Linked DNA regions of Sus scrofa. The protein of the gene in region 7 interacts with the protein of the main gene of each other region in a pairwise test. Links are inferred from orthologs where the notes say so. Each region holds a gene or a part of one and is shown on either strand. Other genes may lie near its edges. The genes, in order: NAA50, RHOBTB3, SMYD1, AES, COX5B, STK19 and BHLHE40.

Region 1 (2,975 bases), about 85 Mb from region 7:
ATGCCTGAATATATCTCTGATTAATAAAAAACACACTAGATTCTGAAAATAATCAATTTGTTATTTTTTATTCTTCAAAATAGTATTATATAATTTAATCTTTCCCATTGCCAAAGTGAAATGAAAGTAATCTTATTAATACTTGTATTATAAAGCTCCATAGTTGTGATCTTAGCCTTGGCTCTGATGTCTCTTACAATCCAAGTATCAATCAGCTAGGTACTCTCCAATTTTGATTATTAAATTATACTACTAATGAGCATGTCACTGGGAGCCTTGAACAAAACTCAAGAATGCAAACAGATAGCATGAGAAATGTAATATTAATGATATTAATTTCTTAAATTCTTAAGACCTGAGTTTTAATCTTGGTTTCACATCTTTGACTTTGAAGCTCCCATTCCAATGTAATGAAGCAAACAAGAATGTTTCATTTCCGATTCCTTATCTATAATTAAAACAAAACAAACTTCACAACTACTACTTCCGTGGTGTTTCCGAAAGACAATAAATGACAAGATTTTAAATTTCTAGTAAAGATTTCTATTGTCAATTCATTAAATCTTTAGATAAGAACATTTAATGACTTTACTTACAGATAGATGTTGTCAAAAGTGCCATCTTTTTCACAGATGTTTAAGACATGATTTAACATTTTAGTTCCTATTAACAAGACAAATAACAAATAAGTAATCTCATAAAAATCAATCTTTAAATTATACATCTTATTGATTCCTAACAGAATTTGAGTTAAAGTCTAGATATGCTGATTTTGCAAAATTTTGTTTTCTCTATACTACCTACTATGTTTAAAACCATTAGCAGAAAATCAATCTTCACATACAGCCCTTACAGGGAGAAGAAAAACAGAAAAAGCAACAGGGATATTAATAACAAATCCATAGAGTGCTTTCAACTGAATTATGCCAATAAGTAAATAGCTCTTTTCCACCTTATTTTATATAATTCAGTAACCTTTTCCCAGTATTCCTAGAAGAAATAGTTTGACTTACTGGGTCAGGAACAGTAACAATGTATTTGTGCTTATTTAAAGACGATGACAGACAAAAACCACAAATAATTTTACCTATTCCTAGCCTTCGGTATGGAGCCAGACATCCTAGTGTCATGATGTAAAGTCTCTTCTGATTCTGTGAATGATCCACCCTACAGCACACCGCACCTACTGCAATATCATTGAAATAGGCTGCCACGGAAAATATAAAGATACAAAGTTTAACAGACAGAATAACACATTTTACTGAATCTTTCCATCCCCTTACACAAGGACTAAATCGCTATTCATCACCGAATCTCATTAAATTTTCTAATCAGCCTCTCTGAGTATCAACAGCCTCAAAAACATCCTGTATCTTCTTGGAGTTCCCATGTGGCACAGCGGGATCAGCTGCATCTCTGCAGCACCAGAATGCAGGTTTGATCCTGGCCTGGCACAGTAGGTTAAAGGATCTGGCGTTGCTGCATATGCAGCTCAGATCTGATTCCTGGTCTGGAAACTTCATATGCCATGAGGCAGCCAAAAGGGGGAAGAAAAAAAAAAAAAAACACCAAAAACCAAACCAATACAAAACATCCTATACCTTCTTAAGAATTTAAGTCCCCTTTTGAGTAAAACTAAATATGTGAAAAAACACAGGCAATCCTAAATTAAAAAAAATATTTAGCATTTCCTTTTAAAATTCAAGTCTTTTATCTCTATTTTTTTCAGAACTTGCATCATTCCCATTTCCTCACTTGTAAAACAGGAAATTATATCAGTTAACTTTTTCTTTCCAGCTGATATTAAAAACTAGGGATCAAGAACATGAATAAACAAATGAAGGGAAGAAGAAAAACCACATCATGGATTAAGGATCTGGCATTGTCACTGCAGTGGCATGGGTTGGATCCCTACCCTAGGAACTTTCCATAAGCCATGGGTGCAGCGAGAAAAAGAACAGAAAAGAAAAACCATTATCATACCAAGTTTTGCTAGCTCGCCAACCTCCAGCACATCCTTGTAGAACTTGTCATTGTAGCTGACTGGAAAGATGACCTGGTTTAATCTCTTCAACTGTTTAATATTGTGTGGTGTCACATCTCCCAGCTCGATCCGGCTACTGGAACAAACCAAAATGTACTCAATAAAATATAATTAGCTTCATCTGTTAAGATGGACATATTAAAAGCATACCAAGTCTTTTTTAGATGACTGATAAATCCATCTCTTTTCATGAGTCACCTTACATTTCTATGAAGTTCACTTTTTTTTTTTTTTTTTTTGTCGTTTTGCGTTTTTCTAGGGCCACTCCTGCAGCATATGGAGTTTCTCAGGCTAGGGATCTAATTGGAGCTGTAGCTGTCAGCCTATGCCAGAGCCACAGCAATGTGAGATCCGAGCCGCGACTGCGATCTACAGCACAACATAGCTCACGGCGACGCCAGATCCTTAACCCATTGAGCAAGGCCAGGGATTGAACCTGAAACCTCCTGGTTCCTCGTCAGATTCGTTAACCACTGAGCCATGACAGAAACTCCTAGTTCACCATTTTTTAAGCAGATTTTTCCAGTCATTCGACCTAGATCCCAACTCTAGCTTTCATACAATTGTTTACATTTGGAGTATACAATTATAATGTCTAAATACAGTAAATAACAATTACTAAAAAGGCCAGAATATTCTACATAAATACCAAAATTTTCAGGAAAATTTAAAGACATTTATTACTGCTCAAAAAAGATTGATGACACCTTACCTAATTGGCAAAGGGGTGGCAAGTAAGATTTTTACACCCTAACAAGGATGTACATACACACAGTATCTCTGGAAGACAATCTAGCACTAGGTACTAAAAACCTAAAAATTGTATTTGTCCAAGTAACCCCACTCTAGGAAGTTATTCCATGAAAATAATCTAAATGTGCAAAAATCTTGCATATCCTATTCATTTGACATAGGAACCACACACATCAGA
Region 2 (3,500 bases), on a different chromosome or scaffold from region 7:
TTGAATCCACACCTCATAGATACTAGTCAGGTTCTTAGCCCGCAGAGCCACAATGGAATTCCTAAATATAGCTCTTTTAAGGACACTTAAAAATACTATAGAAGCGCGTAGCTGTGGTACAGCTCTGATTCATAGCTGGAACCTATATGCCGGAGCGCCAAAATAGCAACAACAACAACAAAAAAAAAAAAAAAAAAAAAAAAAATACTATAGAAGCAAATAAATACAGATAATTTGAAGAAAAATTTGTAAAACTCAAGGATTATTCTTTTAAAAAGTTATACTGTGGGAATATTTTAACATGTAAATTTTATAGGTCTCTCTGATTTTCATTATACAAAATCATAATTTTAATTGTAAGAGTTCATCTAACAGCATATCACATTTTAACAATCTTTTTTCACTTTATGTTTTAGCAGACAAATGTTTGAGTGATCTCAAGAGCAGGAATATGTAGCTATTTTTAACAGAAGCCACCAGAGGAACTAGATGGCTAACTCAGAGGAGAAAACCTACCAAAAGATGTTCACAACACTGCCTGAGGGCTGTGACTTTGAAAGAGGAAGGAGATCACAGAAATGAATAGCTGGCTATGAAAAAGTAGATCAAATGTAGAATTTTATTTTGAACAAGACTTAAGATTTCATAACTGTGGGCTCTTGGCAAGAGATGGAATGCCTTTCACTGGAAAAATTACATTTTTGGAAGAATTTTCACTGTCTTGAGAAAGTGGTTTAAGCTGAAATAAACAAAAGAATTTAAAAAGACATTTAAAAAAAGCTTTAAACCAAATACTGCAGCATCTAACAGCTCTGTGAAGAATAATAATCGTGGAGACAGTACCCAGAAACTCACAAGGAAAAGGTCAGAAGCAAATTTGGGGCCTGAAGCAGCCAAATATTAATGCACAGATTCTAAGTAAGAAGTTGAACTTAAAATTTTAATATGATTTAGAGTAAACAGGACTTCATAGGAATCACCAAAGTTTGCCAAGATAAGGTTTAAAGGGGAGTAAGGAACTGATCTGTTTAAGGGGAAAAGGCCTCTGTTTATGCTAAGATTCCAACTTGATGGAAATATACAAACCTGAAGGTAGACTCACAATAAAGAATTGAGAGAAGTTAGGGCAAGTTCCAGCAGAAGTGAGAGAATACCTCAACTACTTAGTTATATCAAAGGTATCAATGATGCTTTCCTGATACTCAATACAAAGCTGGCAGAGATGATAGAGTGATTGGAAATTTCAGTTATTCAGAGGGCTACTGTAAGTCTAATTCTGCCAAAAGGCAATTTCACCTCCTAGAAGTCAGAGAAGCAATGAAGGAAAGGTTGACTAAAGTCCGACAAACAGATGAACTGGCTGGTGAAGTGGAACCTCAACCTGAGAGCTTCGAAGAGAAATAGGAAGAAAATTATCCTGTTTCTGTGATTCATAATTTGCAAAGTAGGGACCATCAGGAATAGACTAAAGGAAAACTGATAAATGTAGGCTGAATCTTAGCAAATAGAAAAGTTTTCAGAAACCAATAGTAAAATTCAAGAACAGGTAGTATCTTAGACTTCTAAAATTTAAAGGAAAAAATAAGGATACTCACACATTTCAGATTCAGGAAAACAAGTCAGGAAGAATTTCTGACAATACAATTATAAATGATGCTGATGGGGAATGGTGTGGGGGTGCTGGGTGTGTCTGTATGTGTTGGGGGGGGCAGTTCAAGAGATTATTGCAACCATGCAGGGAGTTCTCTTATGCATGAAATATTTAAAAGGATACTATAAGCTAAAGAAAGAGAAACTTGTGCTCATTTTTTAAAAGTATGACAGACTTGTTAGAAAGTATGAAAATGAGGAGTTCCTGTCGTGGCGCAGTAGTTAATGAATCCAACTAGGAACCATGAGGTTGCGGGTTCGATCCCTGCCCTTGCTCAGTGGGTTAAGGATCCGGTGTTGCCGTGAGCTGTGGTGTAGGTTGCAGACGAGGCTTGGATCCTGCGTTGCTGTGGCTCTGGCGTAGGCCGGTAGCTACAGCTCCGATTAGACCCCTAGCCAGGGAACCTCCATATGCCACGGGAGCAGCCCAAGAAATGGCAAAAAGACACACACACAAAAAAAAAAGAAAAAAGAAAGTATGAAAATGATACATCAAAAATGAACTGAGGTTGTGAAAATGCTAGGAAAAAATTTTAAATTTTTAAACTAAATCTAGAGGAAAGCTACTAATCCCAAGCTTAATGTAAATTTATTACAAAGAGAGATCAGTTACTCAAATTTTTTAAATTTGCTTTTCCCCTAATATTAAATACACAGGATCTGTAGACTTGATTATGAGAGAAATAAACTCCAAAAAAGCTAGGAGACCATAAAAGAAGACCTGGATGCTTTAAATGAATTCCCTTCCATGCTCAGAAGTAGGTATACTGATTAATGAATTCATCTCAGCCTGGAGGCAAGCTTTTAGCTGTCAGAGTCTGTCCTCTGCCCCATTATATGGCTCTGTTTTAGCAATGTGGATAAAGGCAAATTTGTCATATCTTCCTCTTCTGGATGCAAGAGCTTATAGGAACAGCCAATACGTTGTATGCCAGATAATATTTACAAAATCCTAATGGTTTGTAATGGTGGATCAAACATATTCCTGTGAAAAAGACTTAGAAGGTTCAGCTTTAATGCTATGACCACTGCAAAGCCCTAAAACTGTCTTAGGGCAGGGAATGGAATATAGACTAACTCCTCATACAAGGCGACATTTCAACAAAAGGTGTTTGAAAAAACTGATGAAATACACCAATATCTCCTACAACCAAGCAGAAGAACTTCAAAACATGTTGGCTAAATAAGTGTATGGATGAACAGATAAATGAGTTCAGCCTAACCATCTCTATCAGTATGTATGGACTAATCTCATTATTCTCCTTTCAGGAACCTTAAGAGGTAAACAACTGAGGGAATTTCAATGTAAATTCTATTTCCTATAATGCCTATATGAAACAATACAGCACTGACTCTAATGAGAGCTACCCTTCAGTTGAGAAAATTCCATATTGGTAAATCCTACCTCCTTAGAAAGGGATGGCCCCAAAACCCCATGCTTCGAAATTACCTAACAGCAGAAATTGCTGTGAGGGCACATTTACCTCATTTAGTCAAATTTCTAAACTAAGACAAGCACTAATATATCTCTTAATAAACAGAAAAAATTTTACAGTAACATCATTTTTGTAATTTTTTTTTTTAATCCAACAACCAGATATAGGGCCAATTACCTTGGCTTTTTTGAGCAGATCAACTATATCGAGGTTCATCGATGCCAGTTCCCTGCTTGGCATGCTTTGCAGCTGTGTAATGATGAACAGCTCACAGATGTGCTGCAGTCTGGATACCTGGTACATCTCTGCACAGATCAGGAGACACATTGCCTGGAAAATGCCAGCTGATGCAAGAAAAGAAATAAAAGAAAATGGACAATAAAACCATTTCTTTTACCATCTAAAAACAAAACA
Region 3 (4,069 bases), on a different chromosome or scaffold from region 7:
GCAGAAGATTCTGCAGCTGCTTCCAGAAGTCAAGGCAGTTTCAGGAGATGCAATTTGGTTGAAGGCACATTAGAATCGCTAGTGTATCTGGATGGTTTAGGGAAGATAAAGTGACTGAATACATAAAATATGGAAAAAGTCCCATTCAAAGTGCCGAAAGGTATGCTACTTCCTTGGTGCCTATTACTTCATTTACCAGTGAAACTATCCCCCTTGTTTTGTAACTAGGATATCAAAGTTGTCCCTGTAGGCTCAAAATTTAAATGCAGATTTAGCTGACACAGAAGCCAGCACTTACAAGCTACTGCACTCACAGAAATCCAGAGCACAGAAATCTGTAAATAGATGCATCCCAGAAACTAAAAATATTACCTGAAAGGTAAGCCACAGCTCCAGATCTGCAAGAGTCTTTCTTTTCAACCTCAGTGAGAGCTGCCTGGCCTTCAAGACAAGTGGCTTTTAGTTCAAGGGAGATTTTGCAATAATCCATCCAATATCCAATTACTATTTTTCTGGCAACAAACACATGTTTAAGGGAGATTTGATAGCCTGAGAGACAGGAGAGTGTTCATTGTCAAGGCCTGCCTGCTCTCATAATATAGCTTTCATCTAGCACATACGTGTTATCAGGGAATTCTCAGTCCTCCAGGCCCTGGATGGAGGTGCTGTGGGAGGCCCAGGTTATACTGGGGAAGAGGGATGCCCATTAGAACCTAAACGTACTGTTATGCACATAGCCCAGAGGCCACTTTTGCATCTGCTGCTTTCTGCAAACAGTCCACCCATGTGGATTTGCTCTGGTGCCTGGGGCGGGGGCGGGCGGGGGGGGGGGAACAAGGGGCCCGTCTCACTTGAGAAAGTCCAAGCCTGACAGCTGAAGGGTCCCAGAACAGTAAGCATCACCTCGCCTCTTCTCTTGGACCACTTCAGCTGTCTGCTTTGGATTGACACAGGCATCTGGCTGCTAAAAATACCCGACTGACCAAGTGCCGCCTATTCCAACTCAAGCTGAGCATGACTGCCATCCAGGACTTAACTACCCTTGCAAAAGAACTTTTCAAAAGTTTTCAGACCCAATATGAGAAGCACACCAACCCATAATCATTTTCTATGTTGTCGGTTACATTGGGCGGTGCGAGGGACCCTTCCCAGATCACTGGCCTCTGGCTTGCCCCATCCCTGTCTCCAAGAATAGAGGCAGAGGGGGAGGTGGGGACCCAGTGGCTGAGAGGGGGTAGGGAAGGGGAGGTGCTTGTCCATTTATAGGCTTGCTCTTTGGGATGCTGAAGGTGCTGAAATAGCAGCGAGGACAAGGGACTTGGCTCAGTGTTAAATATCTGCCGAGCTGCCCTAAGATTCTGAGATGACAATAGAGAGAATGGAGAATGTGGAGGTCATTACTTCTGAGGGCAAAGGCAGAGGTCTGAAGGCCACCAAGGAGTTCTGGGCTGCTGATGTCATCTTCGCTGAGCGGGCTTACTCTGCCGTGGTTTTTGACAGGTACAGAATGTGGGTGGTTGCCCTCTTTTCTCCTGTTGGTTTGGCTGTTGCCACATTCTCAAATATTTTGCTCTCAAAATCATCAGAGCAAGGGATAAAATCCATGGGGCCATTGATAAGGAATGGCATTCCAACAGCTAACTGTTTTCTTGTGTAACTTTTCCTGCAAAGAGTCACTGCCAGTGGGATTTGCTCTGGTGCCTGGGGTGGGGTTGCAAAGGTGATCAAAGGCTTGGGGGCAAGTGCTCAGAGCACTGGTGAACTTGGCTGAGTGGGAGTGCTGTGTGTGGTGAGGTTGGAGAGAAAGGGAGAGGTGGGTGTGGTGCCTTGAAATCTTTTCCAGAGGGCTCCATGTTTTTTAGCTTCTGAGATAAAATAAACATATTAGAGAAGTAAGTGAGTCCTGGGATTTTAAAAACATGTAAATATGCAAGTACTCCTGGAGTCCATTTGCTTTTGAAAATAGGAGTATCACCCATGAACGGGAATCCTCTTTTACCTTTCCCACCCAGAAACCCAGTCCCCTCTGTCTTTCCTCAGAGGTAATCCTTCTTGTGATTTTAATGATTCTTTCTAGAATATTCTTGTTCTATTGCATCTATCTGTCTATATCTGTACTTACCAAATATATAGCTGTAATTTGTCTTTTTTTAACAGAAATGTTATCATACTTCAGACATCATTCTGAAACATACTGTTTTCACTAAGCATGTTTTGATACTTATCCATGTGGAAACTGTAAGTTTATAGACACTTCTTTTAAATCGTCAAAGATCTGTTTTTTCCTCCCACGTGTAGATCTATCCATGTTGATCCATACGCTCTATGGATCACAAATTTTAACTTCTGTAGATATTCTTCCCTGTAAATATATGGTCTTTAAGAAATCTGTTGCCCTATTGAGAAACATTTGGTGGTCTCCATTTTTTTTCATAAAAACAAATATTTCTGCAGTTAAAATCCTCGATCATGTCCACTTGTACTCATGCGTGATAATTCTCTAGGATGAATGGCTAAAAGAGGAATCACTCTGCCATAGGGTGTACTTTTTTCCATTTTAATAGGATCTCCTTAGTGGGTCTGTTAAATTTACATTCTCATTTCCTCACAATCCTGTCCATCCTTGACCCAAACTTTCAAATTAGTACTAAATCTCTATTTTTCTTTTTTTTTTTTTTAGAAAAAACCTTATACTGTGATGAAATTATAACAGTATTCTCAAAAGTTGGGGTGGCCTGCCTGACATTGATGTAGTCTCAATAAAGATGGCCTCTGATCTTGGCTTCGTGACCATCCTGAGAATGGGCAAAGGTTTTCAGAGATAATTTGAGCAGCATTTGAATTCTCATTTCTTCCTACCTATGAAGACCTTCAGGGAGAAGGCAGCTGATACCAGCTGAGGAATATAAAGCAGCTGAGAGGACAGTAATACCTCTTGGGGGAGTGGGTCTTACCTTATTTATTTATTTATTTTCATCTTTTTAGGGCTGCACCCATGGCATATGGAAGTTCCCAGACCAGGGGTCCAATCGGAGCTGCAGCTGCCAGCCTATAGCCACAGCCACAGCAACGCCAGATCAGAGCAGCATCTGCGAATCTACAGTGCAGCTCACAGCAATGCTGGATCCTTAACCCACTGAGCAGGGCCAGGGATTGACCCTGCATCCTCATGAATCTTAGTCAGATTTTTTTTTTTTTTTTTTTTTTACCACTGAGACGCAATGGGAACTCTGGGTCTTACTTTGTTAATGTAATTGTGTGTGTGTGTATGTGTGTGTGTGTGCGTGTGTCTGTTGGGGGTGGATGAGGAGTTAGTGGCATCCAAAATTAAGACATAAAAAGCTGGAAACACAGGGTAGTTCCCATTGTGGCTCAGTAGTAAGGAACCTGCCTAATGCCATGAGGATTCGGGTTCTATCTCTGGCCTCACTCAGTGGGTAAAGGATCCGGTGTTGCTGTGAACTGTGGTGTAAGTTGCAGATGTGGCTCGGGTCTGGTGTTGTTGTGGCTGTGGTGTAGCCTGGCAGCTGCAGCTCCGATTTGACCCCTGGTCTGGGAACTTCCATGTGCCACATGGCCCTAAAAAGGAAAAGGAAAAAAAAATCTAGAAACACAGGAACCCTGAATAATCTTGGTGCTGCCACTGAGTTGCCACCTTGCCTTTTAAAGAACCTCCATGGGTTTCTGCAATTCCCTAAAAGCCAATATGGCCAATCAGTTTCTCCTTCACGACGGTTTGGAGTTGAGTGGGTTTTCCCTTCATTATAAAAGTCAAATTTAGGAAGAAAAAAAGGTATCTTCACACCAAGATAACTCAACCTTGTTGATTGTCTCCTGCTTATTTTACAACACAGGGTTCATTTGTTTGTACTACAGGCTTGTATATTATTATATATAAACTACCATTTTTTTAATGGCTGCACCTGCAGTATATGGAAGTTACCCAGGCCAGGGATCAAACCTGTGCTTCCCCAGAGACTAGAGCCACTGCAGTTGGATTCCTAACTGACTGTGCCACAGTGAGAACTCCAAACTATCATGGGTTTTTCATTTAATGATTTAGATGTCT
Region 4 (4,214 bases), on a different chromosome or scaffold from region 7:
TGGCTTCTCTAATTTTCTTTAAAAATGTACAGTTGCTGCCACTGTTAAAAAAAAAAAAAAAAGGCAGTTTCATTCCAAACTGCATTTCTGGCCCTTCCTGAGGGACTGGCAGATACTGTACCAGTCCCCAACACAGTAGGACTCCTCGCTGTATAGCAGGAAGCCCAGGCCCAGCGGATCGTGACTCCAAAGCTCAGAGAGGGGGCCTGGCCTACCTGAGGTCACACAGCATGAGGCAGCAACCTGACCCTCAGTCTCTGGAGTCAGATCGGCCAGCCAGATTGGATCAGAGGAGAGCAAGGGCCAGGTAGGGAGGGTAGGACCCCTGGAGAGGCTCAGAAAGGCCAGGCCTGACAAGCAAAGCTCCTAAACCCTCCACATCACAGGACCAGAACAAAGCTCCCGGGCCTGCCCTTCAACCACCTTGCCTCAGTTTCCTCACTTTGAAATGGGCATATGATCAAAAAGCAGGGAAGATTCAATAAAAGGATGTATGTTCAGTATTTGGCAAATGGGGAGGATAGGAACACCCCCAAAGGAAAAACAGATCTCACTATTCCTATCTCTTCTTGGAGAAAACTCAGGATCCTTCATAGAACACTTTTGTGTGACCAAACTGAGGTCCAGAGAAAGCCCAAGACCCCACTGGTATCTGTGGCCATGGACCCCCTTCTGATTCTCAAGCAAAGACCCCCTCCGGAGCTAAGGCTTGAGACTTTGCAGTCTTCAACCCAGAAACTGAGTGTGAGAATCTCATTTTGCCACTTCCCTGCTGGGCAACCCCAGGAAACCCCTATCACCTCTGGGTTTAAGTTTCCCTAAATGTAAAATGAAGATAATAATAGTTCCTTTTTCTTAGATCTGGCACATGGCAAGCCCTTTAGAAATGTTAGATTAAATTCTGGAGGGAGCATCGCCTTGCTGCTGGGTGCCAGAAACCTTTTCTCCAAAACTAGGCAAAGAGATAACAAGCTATAGACTTTCTTTTGAGGGGTGGGTGGGGCGATGGAAGATCCAGCCCCCAACTCCAGCTCTTGGGAGGTCTTTTATCCAACGCAGTCTGGGGTGGGGGTGGGGGAGGGGAGAGGGGCTTGGAAACCAGACGGCTGAGTCTTTGGGCAAATTATTTAAATTCTTGTGCCTCAGTTTTCTCCTCTATGAAATGGGACTGTCCTAAAGACTAAATGAATTTAATATCCGTAAGTGTTGGAGACCTGGTCTGCCACATGAGACACTCAATACCGATTTTTTCCCCCCATTCTGTGTGTATAGCAGGGACCACAACTTCAGCTCCAGGCCTCAGTCTTGCCTTCTGAGCAGGGGGCTCCACCTTCACCCAGGGCAGGGACCACCAGCCCTCAGCTCACCTGTGGTACTGAGCCTGCAGGAGCTGAAACTCATCTTTGATGCGGTCGCAGGAGTCCGAGGTGGTGAATTTGAGTTGCTGGGGTAGGTGCGACGAGCCCTGTGGGGAGGGGGCGGCCCGGGTCAGGACCAGGAGGGGGCCGCCACCCACCTTCCTCCCTGAGGGCGCCCCCCCTCCACCAGGCTGCGGCCTGCGCAGCTGCAGCGTCCCCCCACACCCTGCCCCACTTCCCTGGCTGTGTTTACAGCCCCTGGCTCGGCCCCCGCCCTCGCTTCCTGCCCCCGCCTCTCCCCGAGAAGCTAAGGAGGGTGGGTGCTCCCGGAGCCGCTCGTCCCCCTCCACCCCCAGGCTGTGGGGGTGCATTTGAAGGGCCGCCCTTGGTGGGGGGTAGGGTGCGCCCTCTACCGCGCCTCCACAGCGCCGGGAGGGGTTGCACGTCTGAGCGTCCCAACTGCCTCAGGGAGGGGGGAGAACGCGTCCTAGTGAATCCCCCTCCCCAAAGCTGGGAGGCGGGGGCAGGCTTCCTGGCAAAGTCCCCTTGGGAGAGGGGGCTCTCAGCGCCCAAAATCTTCCGGGGGTGCGGGGGCCCACCCCAGATTCCTAGCACCCTTCCTCCAGGCCGCGCGCTCTTCCGGGAGGGGTGCGCCTTGACTCTCCCCCACTCCCAGGCCCCAAAAGCAGCCCCAGCGTTAGAGGTGCCTAGTGGGGCTCCCGGGGCGCCCCAGGCCCCAGGCCAAGGCCAGCGAGGCCCAGCCTGGCTTGGGGTGGGGGTGCGCAGGGTCCAGGGTCTGGGGCGTGCTCTGAGCTGGGGGCAAAAGGGGACCTGGGGGGGCTCTGGGCCCGGAAGCTGGGAGGGGGACCCGGAGCTGGCGGCGGTTGCGGGGGGGGAGCAGCTCTGGGCCCAGAGCTGGAGGGGACTGGGCCCAGGAGTTGGGGGGAGGTGCCGAGCTGGAGGCGGGGGGTTGGCCTGGCAGGGACCTGGAAGGGGGTCGCAGGGCTTGGACCTAGAGGGGGCGCTGGGTTCGGATATGGGAGGGTACGGGGCCCCGACCTGGAGGGACGCAGGGCCCGAACCTGGGGGAGGGAATAGCCCCGGCTGGGAACTGGGGATACCGGGCCAGGACGTAGGGGGACGCAGGGCCCGGAGCTGGGGGGGGTGGCTGGGCTGGGAACCGGGGGTGCCGGGCCCGGACGGGGGGGGGGGGGGCCGCCGGGCCGACGGGCCCCGCTTACCGAATGCCTGCTTTGTGGAAACATCATGTCAGTCGCGGCGGGGGGCGCAGGCTGCGCCCCGGCTGTGCGCCCCGACTCGGGCTGCTCGGGGCGCCGGGCGGCCGCGCCTTTGTCCCGGAGCCGATCGGCAGCTCCCGGGGCCGCCGCCGCCGCCTCCCGCGCCCGGCCTCGCCCGCTTCCTGCGCCCCCTCCCCGCGCGCCCGGCCCCGGCGCGCCCCGGGCCCCGCTTCCTGCGCGCCCGGCGCCCCTCCCCGCCCCTCCCCGCCGCCCGCCTCCCCGCACGCCCGGCCGCCGCTCCTATTGTCTAATGGCGGCGACGCCGGCAGTGGCCGCGGCCTCGGCTGCGCGGAGGCTCCGGCTCCACCTGCTGCTGTCGCCGCCGCCGCCGCCGCCGCCGCTGCTGCTTCCCGGGCCCCGTGCGCGCCGCCGAGGGGGGGGCGCGCGCCCGGGGAGGCCCGCGGATCCCCACCCATCCGCCTCCCCCGGGCCGGCCGGCGCGGTGACCTTGGGCCCGCGCGCCCCCGCCCCGCCGCGGCCCCTCCCGGCCGGGTGGCCTCGGCAACCGCCAGGGCCTCGGTTTCCCCATCGGTCAAAGCTTGGGGCCCGGCTGCCCCCATCGAAACCGCCGGCGCTGTCATGGCGCGACCCGGACGCGTGCCAGGGACATGCTCTGTAACCTTGGCTCACTGGCTTTTCTCTGAGCCTCGGTTTCCTCCTCCGTAGAAAGGCGGGGATGATACCGCCGACCTCCTGGGAGCCATACCTTGACTCACATTAATGGAGCGCCTACTGTGTGCCAGGTGGGGGTGGGAGGGGGTACAGAGTCCCTACCCTGGTGGAGAAGACAGAAGACAGAGAGACCAGCCAAAGAGCCAGGTCCCTGGCAGGTCAGATGGTGGTAACAGCTATAGAGAAAAGAAAGCAGGAGGGAGGGCCGGGAAGATGTGATTTTAAACAGAGGGAACTCAGATGGACCTCTTTGGCCGCTAAGCGGATCTGAAGACGAGAGAGGGAGCCAGTAGGCTATGGGGTTGGTCGCTTATTTTAGGAGGCAGAAACAGCCAGTGCAAAGGTACTGAGGCAGCACTGTGCCTAGCACAGGTGGGGGTGGGGTGCTTGAGAGGAAAAGGGAGCAGAGGGGCAGGGCTAGCAGCTTCTGGAATTTGCACAGAGGCCTGGCTTCCAGAAGGGCCTCTGCTTGGGTGGATGATCTGCTGTGTTGGTCTGGAAATTCCTAATAATTTTTGAATGGTCTTGTTTTGCATTGGGGCCTGCAAATTCTGTAGCTGGTGATGAGGCGGGACAGATGGTGCAGGGCCTTGTGGGCTCAGGGAGGATTTGGGCTTGCTCGGAGTGAGATGGGAGCCCTGTGAGATGGTGGGCAGAGGAGAAACAGGGCTGATGGGGACTTTGATAGGATCTCTCTCCCTTTCCTGTGGAGAGCAGGCCTCCAAGAAACCAGAAATAAGGCACATTAAGTTCCAGGAAGTGCTAAATACATAGGCTCTTAATTGTCACCATCATCATCATCCACTATGCACCTTTGCCTCCTGGATGAATTTAAATTCTTCCAGCCTTGGGTTTTCCCATTTGTAAAATGGAGACTTAGGACCGT
Region 5 (3,445 bases), on a different chromosome or scaffold from region 7:
CTGTTGTGAAAGAATTTTCTACCCAATAGGGAAAAAGATGCTGCATGCAGCCAGTCTGTAACAGGGCTACACCGACAGCAGGAACTAGTTCCTAGGAGCCCATCCATACAAGGCAGCGTTTACAGAAACTTGCACACCTCAGCTTGCGGGGCAATGGGGGCGGCTACAGAAGACATTTTCAGCTTTTAGGAGTTCTCTTGTGGTGCAGCAGGTTAAGGACCGAGCAGTACTACTGCAGCAGCCTGGGTCGCTCCTTTGGCATGGGTTCCATCCCTGGCCGGGGAACTTCCACATGCTGTAGACCCGGGCCAAAACCAAAAAACAGGCCAAAAAGTTTTCAGTTTTAAACAAGAGAACTCGCCCCAGTACGTTCTGGAGCTGGAGCTCCATTTCCCGTCACCAACTCCGCTTCCTGCTTCCCTCCCTTAACTTCTTAATTAACAGCCTCCCAATGCAACCACCCCTTTACCTTACCCCATATCATCAAGGGCCTGGCTCCCAGGAAGGGCCCACAATTTGACCGTCCCTTCCCCTGCCACCCCAGCCTCGCCTCAGGCCTGAACCTCATCACCTCAAAACCACCGTAACAAGAAGCTGACGTTAGGACTGCGGGGAGCTCCTGCTCAAGTTCTCCTAGGCTGGGTTACAAGTTCGCAGTGGCTCACAAACGGCCAGGTGAACCAGCACCACAACTAGCCTACTCCTAAATTTGGACCTTTTGGGATCCAGCAAGTATCTTGAGCGACGCAGGCTTAATGTTTTCCGTCAGCAGGCTCCACGTTTACTCGGCACAACTATCGGCTCCAGCGTGGTTTTCCATTGACCTGCGGGGCACTGAGTCCCACGGAAGTAAAACGAGTTGCACCAAATCCGAGCGTTACTAAAGGGCAAAGCCCCCAGAAGCCTGCAATTGAAACCGTGACCGCCTCCATGCCCTCGGGGCTGCAAGGCGGGGCAGTGAGGCACAGGTGCGCAAGCGCAGGCCTTGCCCCAACGCCCCCCCCGCCGCCCCGAGGAGTCACGTGAGGGGGGCGGTCTAGGGGCCGGAGGAAGCGGAAGGCGGACTCTGCGCAGAAAGCAGCCCTCCCCCGGAAGTCCCTGCACCTCAGGAGCCTGTTACCGGAAGTGCTGGTATTTGTAGCGGGCGTGATGGCTTCAAGGTTACTCCGTGGAGCTGGAGCGCTAGCCGCGCAGACCTTGAGGGCCCGAGGTCCCAATGGAGTCGCCGTTGTGCGGTCTATGGCATCTGGAGGTACTAGGCCCCCCCGGCGCGCCAGGGACCCGTGCCATTGCTCTCTCGGGGTGGTGGGGGCAGCGGGGCGGGGGACAGCCTTCAGTACCTCGCGGCCGCAGTGGCTGCCCCTTGGCCCCGAAGGCCTCAGGCTCCACAGGCGTCTCCCTGTTACCCTGGGCCGCCGTTGCTGCCGACCACCAGACTGACCCCGCTGCCAAAGAATCCTTAACTGAAATGCTAGATGACCTTGATGGGCAGGGATTGCAGCCAGGACATGGGGGGTGGGGCTAAGCCCCTCCTTAGACCCGCGCGTATCTCAAGTTGGATGTATTCCACTAGGACTCTGATTAACCTGCTTTTAGGAAAAAAATGTGTCGAAAAACGGCCTCCGTGGCCGAAGGAAGTGAAGATCACCCCATGTTGCCACTTTCGGGTATCATGACTCCGGTCTTTAGGGGACAATAAGCCCACTAAAACTATATGCAGCAGTTTGCGTATGTGCATTTTCCATCGTGATCATTTCAGACGACATGGTAATTACCATATTTTCTTCAGGTGGTGTTCCTACTGATGAGGAGCAGGCGACTGGGCTGGAGAGGGAGGTCATGATGGCCGCCCGCAAGGGACTGGTGAGGAGAAACTTTATATGTCTTCTTAGGAGTTTATGGTTTTGGATGGGATCAGAGTAGTCTCCTCTCTGGGCCTCACTGATCCTGGAAACCTGGCATGTGGGAACAATACCGCTAACCCCTAGAAGGTAGGAGTCATTTGGCATAATGGATTCTTATTTTGTCTTTTCAGGACCCATACAATATACTTGCCCCAAAGGCAGCCTCAGGTACCAAGGAAGACCCTAATTTAGTCCCCTCCATCACCAACAAGCGGATAGTGGGCTGCATCTGTAAGTACCTCAACACTATTTTCTTACCCATTTAATATAGCCCACTATACAGGTCTGTAAGCTCTTTCATATCTTGTGCTTTGTGTGTGTATAAATAAGTTGTTATAAGGGTCTTGGCCCTCTCATACCCCTCTGCTTGAGTAGGTGATCCTTACGGGAGAGAGGCCTGGAACATAAATAATATTGGTTCATTGAGAGTTCTTGTTGCGGCTTAGTGGGTTATGAACAAGACACTAATATCCATGAGGATGTGGGTTTGATCCCTGGCCTCGCTCAGTGGGTTAAGGATCTGGTGTTGGGGCTGTGGCATAGGCCAGCAGCTGCAGCTCTGATTTGACCCCTGGCCTGGGAACTTCTATATGCTGTTTTTATTAGGTGCAGCCCTAATAAAAAAAAAAAAAATAGCAAAAAAGAAAAAAATACTGCCTTATTGGAAAGGCAGTATGAGGAAGGAGTATTCATCTAGAAAGTGTTTATTGTATTTCTCCTTTGCTAGACACCCTGTTAGGCAGTGTCAGCCATAATTTTGTGTCTCAGAGGTGTCTGAAGAGAAGAGATTAATGTTGAAAGTCCCCTCTTCTAGGCTGGATAGCTTTCAACCACCTATGTTCTTTCAGGTGAAGAAGACAACAGTACTGTCATCTGGTTCTGGGTGCACAAAGGCGAGACCCAGCGATGCCCCAGCTGTGGAACCCATTATAAGCTGGTGTCGCACCAGCTGGCCCACTGAGCCCCTGCACTAACACACTCAAGATGCGCTGGCAAGTTTCTTCCAATAAAGACTAGCCATTACACTGGCTCCTCCTCCCATGGCTGGCTGGTCTTCTTTCTTTCCTGTATTTCTAGAAGGGTATGGGTAATTCTTATATCAGAGGTAGTTGTCTATTCGTATTAGCTTGCCATCCACTGTGTACACTGAGATTACCAATCCCTAATGCAGTGATAGGAACCACCTGGCAAGGGGCAAACCGGCTGTGGAAGCAGGCTGGCTGGACTTGTAGAACTGGCTCCACTCCATCATTTAGCTTTATCACTGGGGACATGTTCTCTGGGATGGATCACATTAAAAAAAAGAAAGAAAAAAAGAAAGGATAAGTATCTTGTAAGGTTGTAGGAGTATATAAAGAGCCTGGCAGATAGGTCCTTATGCTGTTCTAAAGACAGAGTGGCCTTGTGAGGAGAGTTTTGGCTTTGAAGTCTTAAGGGACCCAGGTTTAAAGCATAGTTCATGAGGATGCCATCAGCAAAATCTAGAATATGGGACAGTTCTAGAAACCAGCAACCAGTTTCTTCAAATAAACTATAGGGAG
Region 6 (4,031 bases), on a different chromosome or scaffold from region 7:
ATCCGGCATTGCCATGTAGGTGTAGGTTGCAGACGCAGCTCAGATCCTGCGTTGCTGTGGCTCTGGCGCAGGCCAGTGGCTACAGCTCCGATTCGACCCCTAGCCTGGGAACCTCCATATGCCGTGGAGTGGTCCAAAGAAACAGCAAAAAGACAAAAAAAAAAAAAAAAAAATTCATCTAATGAAATAAGATATAAACAAAAACACATGGTATAGTTCTGTTTGAATCAAGTTTAAAAGTGAGCAAAACTAAAATATGTTGTTAATGGATAAACACGTAGATGGTAGAAAGAAAACCGAGGTAATGACTATCATACCAGCCAAGCATGTGACCTGCCAGGGACAGAGCAATATACGTGGGCTTTGGCTGTGTGTGACAATCTGACCTGGGTCACAGTTAAGTGGGCATGTGCATTATAAACATTCTTTAAATTGTGTGTTTCTATATTGTTTTGTGCAATTTTAAAAGCTCTTCTAAAATCAAGCTAACACCAGTAGGTTAAAAACAACAATGCTCTAAGGAGTGGGTGTGGGTCCCTTTCTTAAGAGACTGGAGCTAGTCTCCATCTTCCTTCTCTCCCTCCTTTTCTTCCTGAGAGAGTGTATGCTAACCTCCCAACCGCTAAATCCATGTGCATATCATTTCACTTGACCTCTTCGAAGACCACTGCCTGGAATCACAGGTTCTAACACGACCAACTACTCCACCTTCTTGAAAATCTCTACTTTCTCAAAAGGCCTTTTCGTGGGTTCTTCCTAACTCTGGCAATTCCTTCTCAACCTCTTTCACAGACTCCTCTTCCGCTGCTTTCCTCTTGCAACAGTGGATTTCAAATTTTAAGGCACATTAAGAATCAATTGGGGCATTCTCCTGTGGTGCAGTGGGTTTCAGGATCTGGCATTGTCACTGCCTTGGTCCAGGTCACTGCCGTGGCGAGGGTTCACTCCCTGGCCTGGCACTTCCACAATAAAAAAGAATCACTTGGGGCAGTAGCTTAAAAATGTAGATTCCGGAATTCCTGTCATGGCTCAGCAGGTTACAAACCCAACTAGTATCCATAAGGATGGGGGTTAGATCCCTGGGCTCACTCAGTGGGTTAAGAATCCGGCATTGCTGTGAGCTGCAGTGTAGGTTGCAGACAAGGTTCAGATGCAGCATTTCTGTGGCTGTGGTGTAGGCCAGCAGCTGCAGCTCCGATTTGACCCCTAGCCCAGGAATTTCCATATGCTGCAGGTGCAGCCCTAAAAAAAAAAAAGTAGATTCCCAGGTTCTACCCCAAGAAATCTTAATTCATTATCATTGAGTGAGTTCCAGGAACCTGTATTTTTGAATAAAGAGGCCAGGTAATTTTCAGGGTCAGGCAGAACTCAGGACATACCTCGGGAACCACTGCCTTAAGGGTTGGTTCCTCCCAGCATTGGGGATTTGGCTCTATTATCTTTCATTGCAAACCTGGGGTCCTTAACTTTGGGCTGCAGAGGATCTGTGAAACTCTCTCCCCTCCAAAACTGTCTATATACCTTATATATATGTAATGTATATGCATTTTTCTGGAGAGAGAGACATAGCTCTTATTATCTTCTAAAGTTTGTAAAAAGGTTACAAACCACTCCTCTCCTCCCTCTTCCTGCCATTTTCACCCACTTCTACAGACTGAACCACTGCGCACATCTCCATGACTTCCAATTCTGCATTAGTGGCCCAGAACTCTCTCCAAACCCTCATCCAACTGTCTGCCGCACATTTGCATCTGGATGTTCCACAAGTACCTCCACTCAACCTGTACGCAATTAAAGACATCATCTGCCACCAATGTTCTCCTAGTCCCTTTGCTCCACCAACCACTCGGCCATCCAGAAAATCGAAGAGTTTTTCCTTCTTCTTCCCGCTCTCCACATTCCTCACCCATCCTCACCCTAATTTAGGCCTTCACCAGTTCTCAGATGTAAATATCTTTCCAATCGATCTCCCTACCTCGCCTACTCCCTCCAATCCATGCAACACACCCTTCTCTCTCCTATTTAACAGTCCCCGCCAGATCACCGCTTTCAATGTAAGACCGAAACGACACTGATGTACAAAGCCTGTCCTAATCTAATGTCTGCCTGCATTCTCAGCGCTGTAGGTTCGAACCATGCCCGGTGACTCAGTCTCTCCCAAAGCTTCACTCTTCCACACTCATGATTTGGCATGCTCTCTGTTGCCTGAGGCTCTGTAGCCTCCTCCCTGGCTGGCACAATGCTTGGCCCAGAAAGACCCAATGCTTGCTGAAAGGCAGAATAGGTGGTGGGCGAACTGAATGATGGGGAACCTCGGAAGTGCCCGCGAGGCAGGGAAGCGCCCTCCGTCGGTCGCTCTGACGCCCCTCACCAGCTGCCGGTCAGCCACCGTCCGGTCCGGCACGAGACTGTACACCTGGTTCCTCAGCACGATGGGCGGTAGCGCATCCTCAAACAGGACTCGCGGGAACAGCCGCACTAGCTCCGCGACTGCCGCGCGCGCAGATCCTGGGCGGAAAGACCTGGTCACTGAGACGTTAACTGGGACCGGGGCGGGGGAGCGGATGTACGCTGGGTCCCACCACACAGGGTTACCAGAGGCGAGGCCGCTCCCAGCTGAAGTCCCTAGTCTCGCCCTGGGGTTGCCATGGTTACCTGACTCGCCGCGCAAAGGATCTGCCTCTACATCCCGTCTTTCTCGCGGTCTCTTCAGTCCAAGGGTCTCTGGGACCAGGCGATGCCTCTTCCGGCTCATATCCCGGGATCTTAAGGTGCCGGGGAAGAGGTAGATGCTGAAGGAGAAGAACACGAAAAGTCTTCCGGCGCAGAGCAGTGACGTAGAGCGTCCCTCCTTGGAGGCCAGTCAGCCCAGTGTTACAGGACGACGTGGTGACGAAAGAGCCGTCAACCTGTCATCCCTCGGGCTGGGAGGGGCAGTGCCAATGCGGATACCGGCACCAACTGCATTGGCCGAGGCCCCACGTCCGCTGCTGATTGGCTTCCTCCGAGAGCGCCCACTTCCGGGGACGCCAGGGCAGTGCGGGAGGGGTACCGGTGGCCACGTTGTGATCTGCCTCCTGCTGTCCAGCACACAGGCCCCCATCCCAGAGGGGTTTGCCCGCCACTGTCGCTGAATAAATTGCGTCATCGAGAGCCGGGAAGACCATTTTTGCATCCCTCTTCGACTTCTGATGTACCTGCCATGACGTCATAGCTCTGCGAAGGTGTAAGTCGATGTTGGTGAGACCTGACATAACCAGCCAGATACGAGGCCAAAGGTACTTCCTAACCTCTCTGGGCTTGGAGGACCTGGGGATAGGGGTGTAAGTCAAGGGGAAAGGTGAAATGTGCACCTGGTGGTGGCCGTATTTGAGGACATGGGGCCTGCACTTTTCAAGGCCAGAGCCTGGCCATCAGTAAGCTTGCTTAGTCCTGACCTGAAATCCTCCTTTTCCAGCCCTCCTCTTTAAAAAGGGAACTTCCCCACCCTCTCTCAGGTCTGCATGGAGCCCAGAGGGACCAAGAGAGGAGCTGCAAAGATAAGAGTAGCTGAGCCCTGCAACAAACTCCCTCGCCCAGCACCCTCACTGCCCACAGACCCTGCCCTCTACTCTGGGCCCTTTCCTTTCTACCGGCGCCCTTCTGAACTGGGCTGCTTCTCCCTGGATACACAACGCCAGTACCATGGAGATGCTCGAGCCTTGCGCTACTACAGTCCACCTCCCACCAACGGTCAGAGCCCCAACTTTGACCTCAGAGATGGATACCCTGATCGATACCAGACCCGGGATGAAGAGGTCCAAGAGAGACTGGACCACCTGCTGCGCTGGCTCCTGGAGCACCGAGGCCAGCTGGAGGGGTGAGCAAAGCATGGCACACAAGTAGCTCTAGAGACCTGCACCTGCCCTCTGAAATTGGGAGAGCCCAAGCTGGAGAGAGGCCAGTCCTTAAGCTATTCTTTGGGGGCACCATAGCGCGAATGCTTGCGTCAGATCTTCAGCCCCTAATCCCTCCCTCTCAGGGGTCCCAGC
Region 7 (4,203 bases):
GTGTGTCTAGCAACGGGGACAATGCCTGGCACAGGGTAGGGAAGTCAACAAATGCGTGTAGAATGAATGAATGCTAAGATGTCACTGTGAAGGGCAGATAGTTTTTCCTAGTCTCTCTCCCTTTCCTCCATCTCCGGGTGAGGATCCCACACGGCACCGCCGAAGTTCCCGGAGGGAGGGAGACGGCAGACTCCGGCGGGCCACACCGGCCCGGGGCTCTCCGTCCCCCGGTCTGGGCAGAGGGGCTCGAAGTCGGGGACGCTGCGGCCCGAGCTCCGGCCACGTGAAGTGTCACGCCCCGCGCTGCTGCAGGGCAGGCGCCGCCGCCACGGTTGTGTAACGTTGCAGCCCGAGGGGAGGCGACCCGAGCGCCTCCGCTCCGGTGGGGGCAGAGAAGGGAGGGAACGCAGGGCTCCGCGCCGGGTATCTTTCTGTGCTTGACTAGTCCAAGGCGCGCGGGGGGGGGGTACTCTGGAGCACCCTGGGGGGTGGGCAAGTGGGTGCCCGCCAGCGCTCAGGCTGTGCCCGGGAGCGGAACTCCGGGGGAGCCAGGGGCCCGCCGCACGCAGCCTCTCGGATCAGGTGCGCAGAGCGTGCTCGGCGGCGGCCTCGGCTGCCCCTGCGCTTGGCTGCCAGCCCGCTTCCCATGGGGTGACATCCGCCCCGCCCCTCGGCCCCTCCCCACGTCGGGCGATTCCTGGACTCTGGGCTGGAGGGTGGGGGCAGGGAAGCCGGCACCGAAAGAAACCCCAGCCCCTGGGGAAGGCAGGGGGGCCGGGCGACTCCCTCGGCTGAGCGCTGGTTCCTCCGAGCGGACCGCGCGGGGGGAGGAGGAAACGGGTTGGGCTGGAGCGAGCGAGGGGATATTCCTCTCCCGGCTTGAGTCAGAGGCGGGCGGATCCGTCCTCCCCCTTCCCTCCCAGGAGACGGGAACTTACTTCATTTCCCTGGGGCAGGTTCGCCCACGTTACCAACCTCCCCTCCCTGCCCCCCCCCCCCGGCTCCCCGGGCCCTTCCAGCTTCCGCGCCCCCCACCCGGCTGGGCAGGACCCAGGCCGCGCTGCCACCCCCTCTTCGGGGAAAGGCAGCCGCAGACACCTGGGGGCCGGAGCTGGGGGTGGGGGCTCCCTCGCAGCCGCGGGAGCGTTGTCCAACACGTGAGACTCATGTGATGAAGCCGGGGGAGGGCGGGCAGGTCGCTCCTTCCCTCCCCGGCAGCGGCCAGACGTGCCTGGAGTCACAGGGTAGAACACGTAGCTCCAACCCACCCACTCGCTCCCATTTAACCCAGCCCGCAGCCTCTCCATTACTCCTCGGCTCGTTCTCCCCCCACCCCCCCACTCCACCCTAACCGCCCCCCCCCCGCTCCCTCCCGCCTCCCCGCCCGCCCCACTTCTCATTCACTTGGCTCGCACAGCGCAGACGGCGCAGGGAGCACACATCGCCAGTCTGTGCGCAGAGCCTGAGCCAGAAGCCGCGGGGACACCATGCACGCCCCCAACTGAAGCAACACCTCAAAGCCGAAGCTCCGGGCAGCCGGAGGATTTCAGGGAGCTCAGACTCAGAGGAACTCCTGAGGAGAGACCCCTCGAAACCTCTCCAGGACAGTCCTCACCGGACTCTCTGCCACTGCAGACAGGAGCGCACAGTGGCCCCGGCTCGCCGCGCCATGGAGCGGATACCCAGCGCGCAGCCGCCCCCCGCTTGCCTGCCCAAAGCACCAGGACTGGAGCCTGGAGACCTACCAGGGTAAGTTGACACCCCCGGCCCCTTCAAGCCTCAACTCCAGTCCTGCGTTCTGAGCGACTTTCAACTCGGAATCGCTCTGGGCGCATATGCGGGTTCATGCCCGCCAGGGTTCCTGCAGCGGGTGCGCAGGCAAAGTCACGACCCTTCTTCGTCCCTCTCCCTGCAGGATGGATTTTGCCCACATGTATCAAGTGTACAAGTCGAGGCGGGGAATAAAGCGGAGCGAGGACAGCAAGGTAAGGGCCCCGGACCCCTGGGGACCCCAGCCCCTAGCACGCACTGAGTTCCCAAGAAAACTTTTCTCACTTTGAGGTTGGAGGGGGTATGCAAGGTGCGGGGTCCGTGCCTGGATGGCTTGGAGAAGAAGGTAGTTCTGGGTGTGACTCTGTTCATTTGCCCCTACTCTTCTCGCGCCGCGGGGTAAGGGAGGAAAAGGGCTTCTCATCCTCCTCCTCCGGAGCCCACCATTTCCCCGTGCGCCTTGCAGGAGACTTACAAACTGCCGCACCGGCTCATCGAGAAAAAGAGACGTGACCGGATTAACGAGTGCATCGCCCAGCTGAAGGATCTCCTCCCCGAACATCTCAAACTTACAGTAAGTGAGAAGCTGGCCCTTCTCCAAACCAGCTCCTTTGCCCAGAGGGCGGTCGGGGGTCACTCGCCGCCTGCAGGTCCCGCCGGGAACTGCAGGCCAGACGGCTGGATTCGAGCTGCTGGGTGGCTATTTGGGGTACACTTCCCCAGTCCTCAGAATTTTCTGGCAGCCTCATGCAAATAAGGTGAAAACCGTTTGTATTTCTCCAGTTGGCACCAACACCGGCTGGCCTTCCTTTGCAAGAGTTTAAGGCTCACCGTTCTGGTGATTTTCAAGGTTCTCTTGATTTCCTAACTTGAGCAAACCAAGCAACCTGCAATTTTTCTTAACCTCTTTCCTCCCCATCTCTTTTTAAAATGAGAGGACTTGTTTGGGTGTGTGATTTTTTTTTTTTTTTAAACATCCTGTCCTTTCTTGGCAATGGTCAACAGCTTACTAGCTTGACAGCCTTTGGTTGGGGAAAGGGAAAAAAAAAGAAGTATTTAGGGGGAAGAAAAAACTTAGATGAACTGGAAGTTATGACAGGGTGTCAGGAAAGAAACTAGGGAAAGCCTCTTGGCTGCCAGACACAGTAGAAGTCCTTCCTCGGGTTGACACCACTGCAGAGAAATGTAATCTTCGGATTCCCCTGAGTTAAGGTCAGCAGAGGCTGCTGGAAAAATTTATCTGTCAGAGCTTTCTCCTGAGGTAGCTGCTGCTTCCAAAATGCCTCCAAAGATGGGTGACACTCATTTGTTGTTTTTTAACTAGTTTTTTTTTAATAATTATATATATATATATTTTAAACATCTATAAACTTAAAATGAAATTTAGCCAACCAGGAAAGGTTGTTTTTGTTTTTTTTTCCCTTTAGAGACATCTCTCATTGCTAATAAGGGTCCCAGAGGTGGGACTTCTCTGAGCTCCCTGCTGACTGAGGCTCTTTTTATTCCAGACTTTGGGTCACTTGGAAAAAGCAGTGGTTCTTGAACTTACCTTGAAGCATGTGAAAGCACTAACGAACCTAATTGATCAGCAACAACAGAAAATCATTGCCCTGCAGAGCGGTTTGCAAGCTGGTGAGTTCCTGAGCCTGGCTATCTCCTAAGAGTTCTAGCACAAATGGAGAGCCTGTGGGCTCAACATCTGACATAAGAAACATTCCTGCAACAAACTGCTTATGCACATTCACTGGGGAAGATGCTGTTTTATCTTTCCTAAAAGGTCAGACTTTTCATTTGGGAGGCTGCTATGTGCCACCTGGCATGAATACGTATTAGTCAAACGGTAAAATATTTCTGTGGCATTTTGGCTTAAAGAGTTTCTAGGTTCTGGGAGTTTTCCCCCCCTTCCTTTCAAAATGCCAAGGCACCTATAATTTGCATCGTGGGTGTTTTACAGTTAGTCTTCTTAGCCCTGTTTCATTGGAGAATAAAATCATGGGTATGCCCCAGTGTTTTCCTGTGTCTCTACTTCCTTATCACATGGTGTGTGGTATGATCCTGGCAGGATGACAGCAGGAGTTTTTCCTGCATTTCATGTGGTTCCCTGAATAGCCACTAGGTATCTTGGTGAATTACACAATCTCACGAAACCACTGAAGTTTCATCATGTTTCTCCTGACTTCCAGAGAATCACAATCACCTTCCAGAGAATCACAATCACGTCTCGTCTCACTCTTTCCAGATAATATTGTACACACCAGGGAGAAATTCTTCTATCCAATCCCTCATTCCTTTCCTCTCTGCCCCTCTTTCCAAACTGTTATGATGAGAGTCACAAGAACCTAGCAGGTGCTTCTGCCAGTTTCCTTGTTGAAAATAAGAAGATGATCCTACCTAATTTCTTGGGGATCGTGGATAGAATACAGGGGAAAGACT

The links.
Region 1: the proteins of BHLHE40 (region 7) and NAA50 interact in binary tests that used the Homo sapiens proteins (3 or more experiments, as listed by UniProt). The two-hybrid records come from large-scale screens. The link is inferred for Sus scrofa from reciprocal best matches to the Homo sapiens genes BHLHE40 and NAA50.
Region 2: the proteins of BHLHE40 (region 7) and RHOBTB3 interact in binary tests that used the Homo sapiens proteins (3 or more experiments, as listed by UniProt). The two-hybrid records come from large-scale screens. The link is inferred for Sus scrofa from reciprocal best matches to the Homo sapiens genes BHLHE40 and RHOBTB3.
Region 3: the proteins of BHLHE40 (region 7) and SMYD1 interact in binary tests that used the Homo sapiens proteins (3 or more experiments, as listed by UniProt). The link is inferred for Sus scrofa from reciprocal best matches to the Homo sapiens genes BHLHE40 and SMYD1.
Region 4: the proteins of BHLHE40 (region 7) and AES interact in binary tests that used the Homo sapiens proteins (3 or more experiments, as listed by UniProt). The two-hybrid records come from large-scale screens. The link is inferred for Sus scrofa from reciprocal best matches to the Homo sapiens genes BHLHE40 and TLE5.
Region 5: the proteins of BHLHE40 (region 7) and COX5B interact in binary tests that used the Homo sapiens proteins (3 or more experiments, as listed by UniProt). The two-hybrid records come from large-scale screens. The link is inferred for Sus scrofa from reciprocal best matches to the Homo sapiens genes BHLHE40 and COX5B.
Region 6: the proteins of BHLHE40 (region 7) and STK19 interact in a two-hybrid assay, tested with the Homo sapiens proteins (2 studies listed by BioGRID). The two-hybrid records come from large-scale screens. The link is inferred for Sus scrofa from reciprocal best matches to the Homo sapiens genes BHLHE40 and WHR1.

What each region holds. Positions count from the first base shown.
Region 1 is NC_010455.5:146,210,218-146,213,192, reverse strand, and holds part of NAA50 (N-alpha-acetyltransferase 50), read right to left. Parts: intron 2,121-2,975; coding exon 1,984-2,120; intron 1,208-1,983; coding exon 1,088-1,207; intron 664-1,087; coding exon 597-663; intron 1-596. UniProt on the Homo sapiens protein: N-alpha-acetyltransferase that acetylates the N-terminus of proteins that retain their initiating methionine. Has a broad substrate specificity: able to acetylate the initiator methionine of most peptides, except for those with a proline in second position.
Region 2 is NC_010444.4:102,383,247-102,386,746, reverse strand, and holds part of RHOBTB3 (rho-related BTB domain-containing protein 3), read right to left. Parts: intron 3,431-3,500; coding exon 3,264-3,430; intron 1-3,263. UniProt on the Homo sapiens protein: Rab9-regulated ATPase required for endosome to Golgi transport. Involved in transport vesicle docking at the Golgi complex, possibly by participating in release M6PRBP1/TIP47 from vesicles to permit their efficient docking and fusion at the Golgi.
Region 3 is NC_010445.4:57,915,777-57,919,845, reverse strand, and holds the start of SMYD1 (histone-lysine N-methyltransferase SMYD1), read left to right. Parts: upstream 1-1,269; 5' UTR 1,270-1,363; coding exon 1,364-1,500; intron 1,501-4,069. UniProt on the Homo sapiens protein: Methylates histone H3 at 'Lys-4' (H3K4me), seems able to perform both mono-, di-, and trimethylation. Acts as a transcriptional repressor. Essential for cardiomyocyte differentiation and cardiac morphogenesis.
Region 4 is NC_010444.4:75,490,794-75,495,007, reverse strand, and holds the start of AES (amino-terminal enhancer of split), read right to left. Parts: upstream 2,801-4,214; 5' UTR 2,627-2,800; coding exon 2,600-2,626; intron 1,466-2,599; coding exon 1,368-1,465; intron 1-1,367. UniProt on the Homo sapiens protein: Transcriptional corepressor. Acts as a dominant repressor towards other family members. Inhibits NF-kappa-B-regulated gene expression. May be required for the initiation and maintenance of the differentiated state.
Region 5 is NC_010445.4:56,629,797-56,633,241, reverse strand, and holds COX5B (cytochrome c oxidase subunit 5B, mitochondrial precursor), read left to right. Parts: upstream 1-1,134; 5' UTR 1,135-1,149; coding exon 1,150-1,252; intron 1,253-1,789; coding exon 1,790-1,863; intron 1,864-2,035; coding exon 2,036-2,135; intron 2,136-2,752; coding exon 2,753-2,865; 3' UTR 2,866-2,945; downstream 2,946-3,445. UniProt on the Homo sapiens protein: Component of the cytochrome c oxidase, the last enzyme in the mitochondrial electron transport chain which drives oxidative phosphorylation.
Region 6 is NC_010449.5:24,058,995-24,063,025, reverse strand, and holds the start of STK19 (serine/threonine-protein kinase 19), read right to left. Parts: upstream 2,801-4,031; 5' UTR 2,756-2,800; coding exon 2,656-2,755; intron 2,509-2,655; coding exon 2,372-2,508; intron 1-2,371. Other genes in the region: DXO (decapping and exoribonuclease protein), read left to right, coding at 3,504-3,859, 4,022-4,031. UniProt on the Homo sapiens protein: DNA-binding protein which is required for efficient transcription-coupled nucleotide excision repair (TC-NER). Acts as part of a TC-NER complex which assembles and interacts with RNA polymerase II (RNAPII) when it stalls at DNA lesions.
Region 7 is NC_010455.5:61,526,609-61,530,811, forward strand, and holds the start of BHLHE40 (class E basic helix-loop-helix protein 40), read left to right. Parts: upstream 1-1,403; 5' UTR 1,404-1,669; coding exon 1,670-1,749; exon of another isoform or gene 1,750-1,909; intron 1,910-1,915; coding exon 1,916-1,985; intron 1,986-2,055; exon of another isoform or gene 2,056-2,230; intron 2,231-2,236; coding exon 2,237-2,344; intron 2,345-3,278; coding exon 3,279-3,402; intron 3,403-4,203. UniProt on the Homo sapiens protein: Transcriptional repressor involved in the regulation of the circadian rhythm by negatively regulating the activity of the clock genes and clock-controlled genes.